2 linked regions of the Oryzias latipes genome follow. The protein of the gene in region 1 binds, or shares a complex with, the protein of each later gene. Links are inferred from orthologs where the notes say so. Each region holds a gene or a part of one and is shown on either strand. Other genes may lie near its edges.

Evidence for each region.
Region 2: cnot11 (region 1) and CCR4-NOT transcription complex subunit 6 share a complex: the UniProt entries of both Homo sapiens proteins name them as parts of the CCR4-NOT complex. The link is inferred for Oryzias latipes from reciprocal best matches to the Homo sapiens genes CNOT11 and CNOT6.

What each region holds. Positions count from the first base shown.
Region 1 is NC_019879.2:14,490,474-14,495,018, reverse strand, and holds cnot11 (CCR4-NOT transcription complex subunit 11), read right to left. Parts: upstream 2,908-4,545; coding exon 2,589-2,907; intron 2,510-2,588; coding exon 2,345-2,509; intron 2,274-2,344; coding exon 2,121-2,273; intron 1,799-2,120; coding exon 1,596-1,798; intron 1,212-1,595; coding exon 1,009-1,211; intron 894-1,008; coding exon 797-893; intron 712-796; coding exon 514-711; 3' UTR 207-513; downstream 1-206. UniProt on the Homo sapiens protein: Component of the CCR4-NOT complex which is one of the major cellular mRNA deadenylases and is linked to various cellular processes including bulk mRNA degradation, miRNA-mediated repression, translational repression during translational initiation and general transcription regulation.
Region 2 is NC_019868.2:16,548,619-16,552,432, forward strand, and holds part of CCR4-NOT transcription complex subunit 6, read left to right. Parts: coding exon 1-31; intron 32-144; coding exon 145-249; intron 250-433; coding exon 434-502; intron 503-1,290; coding exon 1,291-1,448; intron 1,449-1,874; coding exon 1,875-2,029; intron 2,030-3,087; coding exon 3,088-3,242; intron 3,243-3,814. UniProt on the Homo sapiens protein: Poly(A) nuclease with 3'-5' RNase activity.

The sequences.
Region 1 (4,545 bases):
GATAGGGATTAGGGAAGAACAGTCGGTCTTTTTGTCATCCTAAAATCTGAGTTTTTTTATTTCGACATCTGAAACCCTTTTTAAATGATTTAAGCATTTGCAGCAAAACTTTACCCTCAACATTTTTAAAAGCTAGAAAACTGGGAGCAGAAGAAAACGGTCAGAACTTGTGTCACGCTTTGCAAACATACAACTCTGCACACAAGAACCAAACACTCAACAATTTTATGGAGACAAAATAAGGAGTAAAACACTTTTGAGTTCAAATGTTTCACTGAGCTCCAGTAAATCTGCCGAAGTGATAGCAGCTTATGGAATTTCTGCAGCTTTGACTTAATGCAACATTTGATCACTCAGGAAATGACATCGAAAATAATACAAACTCGAGGGTTTAATAAAGAAAAAATTGATGAGTCAGTGACAAAGATCCTCCGCAGAGCTGCATATTTACAGCACGTCCTCTCATGACTGAGCTGTACGGCTCCCTGCTCCCTCTGATGTCAGGACTCCTGCTCATTTGATGGGCTTGGCCTCGGCCGGGTTCTCCCCAGTGTCCAGGGTCTTCAGAAGGCGGAAGAGGCCGGCCGCTTCACGGATGCGGCTGAACTCTATGCAGAAGGCCTGCACCTCGATGAACAGGTCCTGGACGTTGATGATCTTGTTTCGGATCAGCGACTGCAGGAAGACGCACACCAGCCGGACCAGGCGGTTCTGCAAGAATCAAGCGGGTTTTTATTCCAGAGGAAAACTCTTGAGCTCTCTTCAGCAGTTCACAGTTCCAAGAACGCGTGTTGACCTGCATGTATTTGTCTTTGATCTGCTCACACGTGGAGATGCAGTTGGAGATGTAGAGGTGGATGAATTCTGGAGGCAGATCCACAGCTGTGGTTAACCTGACGGAGGAGAGCAAACAACTCCATCACTTCCAAACTACAGAAACAGCACCAAACTGGAACCCAACTGGAGATTCGTTAACAGGTCTGAATACAGCCAAAGCCCCGCCCCCACCTGTTTACCACCTCCATGGAGTGCAGCGACATGTCCATGTTGACGAGCACTGAGAAATACTCTGTGATCTGGCTGCTCTGCATCAGTTTTAGCAGCATCTCGATGGCCACCAGTGGGTTGTTCTCCACCAGCTCAGGCAGCTTCACAGGCGTCAGGCCGATGTGATACACCAGCTTTGGGTCTTTCTCCAACTCAGCCAGCAGCTGCACACACGGCGAGGTCAATACAGAGGAGTGACAGCGGTGCACAGCAGTAGGAGTCAACGCCTCCACAAGAAATAATTTGTCTTTTAGGGAACGGACGATAAAGTTTTTGAGTGAAGGGAAAAATAAAGGTTGATTTTTTTTAAGACCACCAGAAAACTAATCCAGGAAGACAAAGGTTAAAAAAGAAACAAATACTTTTCCCACAAATTGTGTTTTTGTTTTGATAAATCTTGATTTAAAAATGAAAAAAGAGCAGATCTGAAGTTAAGTTTTTGTTTCTTTGCAAAGAACAGGAGTTCCTATTTTAAATAAAGTTTTTATTTTAACCCTGACTTTGCCTTTGTGTAAACCAAACATGTTGTTGATCAGCATCAGACCTACCTGGGACTGCTGCTGAGCCGACAGCGGACTCTTGAAGGCCTTGGCCATGATGCGTTTGATCTCCACGCCGGTGCTGTTCTTCACACACATTGACCGATCCCACTGGATGCAGTGGTCCGGCTCGGTGGGGTTCAGCCACGCCAGCTCATCTTCGCATGTGTGGAGCGGAGGCGTCGGCCGGATGAACTCGGGTCGAAAATGACCTGGGAGGGTTTTGAGAAACTGGTACTTACCATGCCTCATAGCAACACCTTCAGACAGACGGCCTTTGAACAAAGTCTAAATACTTTAATATAAAACTACTGAAAAATGACATAACTTCAGCAAAAACCTTCTAGACAGTCACTCAAACACTTTTTTTTTTAAAGTATCAGTTAAAGATCAATCGCACTCAACAGATCAGGTCGGCGCCGATCAACCTGTAACCGTGAGTTTTTGCTGAGGAGACGGCTACCATCTTTTCTGAGGAGATTCCTTCTTTCTTCCACAGATGTGATCACAGCTTGTGTGAAAAAAAGCACTTACTCTCCAGAGGAGGACGCAGCCCTGTGACCAGAGACTCAATGATCTGATTGGCCACAGAGCTGTCGAAGCCTGAGTTGGAGGAGTCTGGATCGGGGTCGTTGAGGATGCTGGGGAAGCTGGCTTTGCTCTGGGTGGGCAGCTCTGACTGGCGCTCTGCAAAAAGAGGGCTGGGATTGACGGCGTCTTCACCTGTGATGAGATGTTTCCTTACAACCTTCACTGACCTGCTAAAGGAAGCTGCAGCCCGCTGATGTCTATAGATGGGGGCATGTTGCTCACGTCCATGCAGGACACCTGTCTGGGGGTCTTTTTGAAGAGGTCTCTGGGCGGAGCCAGCATCAGCTGGGACAGGAAGAACTTCTCCGGCTGCGTGATGGGAGGAAGGAAGCCTGGACCCAACGAAACAGAGACTGAGCGGCTGCGGTTCTGATGAGACGTCGGGCTAAAGGTGAAAGGAAGCGGCCCTACCGGACAGGGCTTTCTCCTGCTCATCCCCGGAAGGTGCTGGGTTTAGCAGGTGCGCGAACACGGCGGCGAACGGGTTCGCGGCCAACGGCTCGGTTCGGTACATCTCCCAGAGCAGATAGAGGGCTGTGAGCCGCTGCGGAGAGCTGGGCAGCAGGTCCGGCTGCTGCAGCAGCATGACCAGAACCGAACCCACCTTGAAGTGGTCCGCCTTCCCAAAGTAATGATGGAAATGAGTGGAGAGGGTCTCGAAGCTGTTGTTGCAGGCCTCATCCGAGATTATGCTCAGCAGGTTGGACAGTTCCTTTGGAGCCAGAGTCATCGTTTCCCCGCCACAGTTCGATCGGATGCAGAGATTGACCGGGGTCCCTGATAAGTCTTTCTGTATAACTATAGCGGCGCTCTTACCCGCTTATTCATCTTTGAAGACGCAGAGTGGAGGACGGTGGCCCAGAAGTCATCTCGATTGAGATCCTATAACGCGGTTAGCATCAAGTTAGCCTAGCTTAAAAATAAGCTACAAAACCGGGAAACTCGTCAAAACATCAATCATCTTTTTAAAAATAATTATCCAAATAGATTAAATGAACGTATAACTTATCAATCGAACCAAAGAGTTACAAAAGATAATATTTCCAGGACTGAGAAAGAAATAAGACCCTGAATGGGATAGTGCTGCGAGCCATTAGCTTGAAGTATTTTTTAGTCGTATTTTCCGGTGAACTGCATCTTGGGTGATGTAGTTTTCTTCAGTTTCTCTCCAGTCCAGCAGGTGGAAATGGTATATGAATTATTCCTACCAAATAATCGTTCACATTTGTTTTATTTAAATAGATAGATAGAGAGGGAGAGGGAGAGAGAGAGAGTTAAGAGAAGGTAGAGATAGCAGTACTCTGCCTTTTAGGCTCAGGTAAGAGACCTAAATTAAAACCCATAAGTTAAAACGTTTTACTAGGGACTGAAATTTGAAGAACTTCTCTTATGTTCGTTTTAGGTGATGGTAATCCCTAGGTATGTTACACAGTGTTGGAGTACAATGTCTGTCACCATAGACGATCTCTGTCTGATTATGTTATTACGTAAGCATGCGCCAATTTTTTTTACGTGCAGTTGAAAATAAAAAGGAAGGCGCAGCCTCTCATCATAGTCAAGACGAAGTGAGTGGGGAGCTGCACTTCAGGTTCAGAATGAAATGTCTCCTGTGTCCATTATTTAAGAGTTAAGAAGCAAACACGGTTGTGTGTAACAGGGATGTCTTTAACGGCTTTGGCGTCGGGAGAGAGTTCCCGAGCGGCAAGAGAGACAACTGCTGCTGCTGGAGAGCCAACACACAGTTTCCATAATTTTTGGTGATAGTAATCCCTAGGTGTGTTACATGTATGTGATGGGAATTTTACATATGGATCGTGTTTTGTCAAATTTGATAGGTAGTTCTTCACATTTTTGATGTTAAGATGAAGTGCAGGGCCATTAGAAAAATCTTTTACTAGATTTAGGGCTCGGGGAATTTGACTGCCATCTTTAAAAAAAAAATGTTAATATTAATATCATCTGTATCTAGACGATCAAAAACAAGCCAGTATATGGCTAATATGTGACTGCCGGGAGATACTTTTGTTGCTCCATGTAAAACTTGATCTTGTTTGGATTCTTCTCTCCAAGGATCTTTTAAATGAAAACTTTGTATAAATTAAAGTAGTTCAGCATTAGGATTATTAGTTTGTAGTGGCCATCTATCCAGTCGACAATCTAACACCATATTCAGGTCTCCTCCAATTATAATTATTGCATGGGGAAGTTTGTTTAAACATTCAGGTGAACAATTTTCTATTATGGATAGGAGTTGAGAATTTTCACATTTAGTATTGTAACCATATACATTTATAGCTATAAAAGTCTTATTTTCGTATGCCAAGGTCATTTATGTGTAAGACTGTCACCTTCAAATTTGTGTTTTACC
Region 2 (3,814 bases), on another chromosome or scaffold:
CTTTTTCAGTTACAAACTCTTGGGTTGAAAGGTCAGTGGCTCCTAAATGGTTCTTAGTGGGCATTCAAGCGTTGAAATCCCCAATGTTCTGTTAATGATTGTTTTTTTATTTTTTTTGTTTCTGATGAAATATTTATTCACCAGGAAACCCACTTGCACAAGAAATAATGAGCCTCTACCAGGAACCCGATGGCACACGAAGACTGCTCAGCTACTTGTTAGACAATCTGGCAGGTGCTATTAAACGCAGTAAGTAGCAATCATCCACTTTACTGCAATCTGTCCTTATCCAGCATAGCAAAATAATGACTGCATGCTGTCTGGTTGGGACATTTGTTACTGTGCTAGTGGTGTTTGTGCGGAAATTGTGCCTCATTGAAAAAAGAAAAACAAAAAAACTATATATATTTATTTTTAATTTTAATTTTTGCAGTACCAACAGAGCAGCCTCCAGCCCGGTCATGGATCTCACTCCAGGAACCTGAACGAACGCGCTCCTCAGGTGCAGATGACACACAAACTTCACTTTTTAGATTATTCCTCACTGTCAGGCAGCTGTTTATCCAGTAACATCTGTATTTCAGCCTGCAGTCTATCCAATGTGTGTATTTTATTAGTGAGAAGGAGCAGTAAAAAGAAAAGTGAAGGTGTTGTGGTCTCATTTTTAAGATTGGAGCTATAGCTCCAGTGTTTACATTCTTTCCATTACTGTAACTCTTTAACAGATTTGGAAGCAGAGAACAGAAGCCATGCACTGATAGGCAACACTGCACAGCACTGAAGTGATTACACAATCAGTGTAAATTAAAGCCACTTTACTTTAATACTGTGTTGCATATCGGTGCAAAGCTGATATGAAAAGTTGCTTTTCTCTAAGTCAGAATCAGCTGAGTCATGTTTAAAACACACAGTTGTGCTATTCCAGTCCTGAGAGTGTCACTTCATATTTCACCAAATTCGTGTTGAAATTTGGTGATCACAACTCACACAAGTGTTAAAGTCTTAGAGCCTTGACAAATTTTGGGGAATTTCAGTGTTTGCAGTTCTACTTTGATCTTGTTAGTTTCTGTTTTGATGCTCTCCTCCTTTTTAGCAGCTGTAGAGACGAATGAAGAACCATGTTATTGTGGTTCTACCTTCTGCTGGACACAGTAAAAAGTTGTTTTTTGGCATAAATGCCAAAGGCGATTTTTAAAGCCTCTTAATGTATGAATTGTATTTTAGATGATGAGCATTTTGGAGTTTTTATCCGGCACTTACTTGAATTTTTGTCTTCTTTTCCGGCCCCAGCTTTGTTCTCTGTGATGTGCTACAATGTGCTGTGCGATAAGTACGCCACCCGACAGCTGTACGGCTACTGCCCCTCCTGGGCTCTAAACTGGGAGTACAGGAAGAAATCCATCATACAGGAAATTATGGGCTGCAACTCAGACATCATCAGCTTGCAGGTGAGAACCAACAAAGTATCTGCTGAGGTTTTGCTTTGATCCAAAAAGAACAGCAGTTTTTCTGCTAAAATAATCAACCATAAGTCTCTGCTCAATTTAAAAATAACAATGCATCTTTAATAAAAGTGTCTAAAGTTGATCAGAAAAGGTTTAAGTGACCAACGTTTAAAGCCTTTTTTCAGAAACATGCATTTATGTTTAAGATATTTTATTTCTACACATTTCTTTTTGTTATCTGACTAATTTAGTCAAATCGATCGGGTTTTCAAATATAAAGAAGTCCAGATTGATGTCAAATTATTCTGGATTGAACTTTAGAAAAAGTTCAAACCTGGTTAGCATTTTCCATATTAGCCACAGTCTGTTTATTTCTTTTATTAAATATTCATCTTGAAGGAGATTTTTATTTTTGTGTTGATTTTTTAGGAAGTTGAGACGGAGCAATACTACAACTTCTTCTTGCCTGAGCTGAAAGATCAAGGATATGACGGGTTCTTCAGTCCAAAATCCCGAGCGCGAACGATGTCGGAGTCGGACCGTAAACATGTGGACGGCTGTGCTATTTTTTACAAAACAGAGAAGTAAGTTGCATCATAAATGTAGGATTTATAACATAAACTGAAAGCACACTTCTCTTTGCAATGTGAAGAAATAGCGCTGCTTTCATGTGTCCCCCCCCCCCAGCGTTTCCTCCCTTTTGTCCCTCTTGTGCTTCATAATTCCTGCTTGTAACATTCATGTTGTCTCAGAACAGTAAATCTGTGGCACCAGTGGGCCTTCTGTAAAGAGTGACACCCCCCCCCCCCCCCCCACCGCTCCGCGCCAGAATGCCTTTACTTTGTATCCGCCTGTTTTCCCTTAATAAGCTCAAACTTCAGAGATGTTTTCTTATTGGAATGCTAACTCTGTCTGTTTATAATTATTGGATGTTTTTAGATGCACTTCAGTCTTAAAAACAGGACAAATGTAGCTTACTTTACTTCTGTTACTTTATTTGAAAAAATCTTTAAATCTGCACATTTTGAATCTGTTTTTTTTTTTCCTTTTAAAAGAAATGCCTAATGGAGTCAAATGTGTTTGACTCTTTGGCTAGAGGAAATAGTTTGTGTTCCAGTGAATGCGTTCTATAGCCTCGGGTGTTGTTTATACAGTGTTTGGAGTTTAAGTAGAAATATTAATGTCTTTCTTCTCATTTTTTAGTTTATTTGACAGGGAACAGAGCATTACTCAAAGAAAAGAGGCTTTGCACCAGACTGTAGGTCTTAGAGCTCACTTCCATCTGAAGTTCCTCCACACTTACTTTGATGAGGAAATGCAGCGTTAGTCATTTGCCACAGTTTTAGACCAATTTTTTAAAACATAAATTTACTTGTTTATCGGCGTGGTTATTTAATAGTTTTTTACTGTTTTGACTGTCCTAACTTGGGTACATAACTTGAAAGGGGTCATGTGGAATTAATAGTGTTTTTAACTGCTTGCAAAGATTTAGTCATCATCACCTGTTGTCACTTTGCAGCTGAAATCTGTGTTTTTTTGTCCTCAATTTGAAGTCTTTCTTTAAGAATGTTCTTTCGACTCTGATTTCTACCCACAAAATGGGTTTTAACTTTCATTGCCTTTGTTCTGGCTTCCTCTCCAGATTCAGCGCCGTGCAAAAACACACGGTAGAGTTCAACCAGCTGGCCATGGCTAACTCCGAGGGCTCAGAGGCCATGCTCAACAGGGTGATGACAAAGGACAACATTGGAGTCGCTGTACTGCTCGAAGTCCGCAAAGAGATGATGGAGCTCTCATGTGAGCCACTGATACTTTTTTCTTCTTCTGATTAGCCGCGTTTACATGGGCAAAAGTAATCGGAATGAACGTCTGATCGGAAAGAAAATGTGTCATGTAAACGCCCCGTTCGGAATACTCTGCCCCGATCAGACTCATTCGGATCAGAATTTCTTTCCGATTGAGATAGGTGGGTTATACCGATCGTTTATCCGATCGTGGAGCATGTAAACGGTCATTCCGATCGTGTGTCACTACTGCTCTGGTTTACGTCACGCATAGACGGTGTTTGGCTGTGAGAAAGCTCATACAGGACCGTCCAGCTCTGCGGACGCCCCGTGAAAAGCGCCGCTCCGCTCTCGCCCCGCTGGCTCTCCCCTCTCTTACACCCCTTACGAAGGGAATGCGGGGAAGGGGCGCTTCGTACCCCCCGACGCTCACTCGGTCCACTGGCACCCGAGTGAACAGAGGAGCTGGATTAATAATTTTGTGTCCGAGGGGGGAGGATGCTTTGTTACGTGTGCGTTTTGTTATGTGTGGGAGAATCCAGACTGCGAGCCGCGCCGCCGCTCTGGTTAGCGGCTGCAGGACTC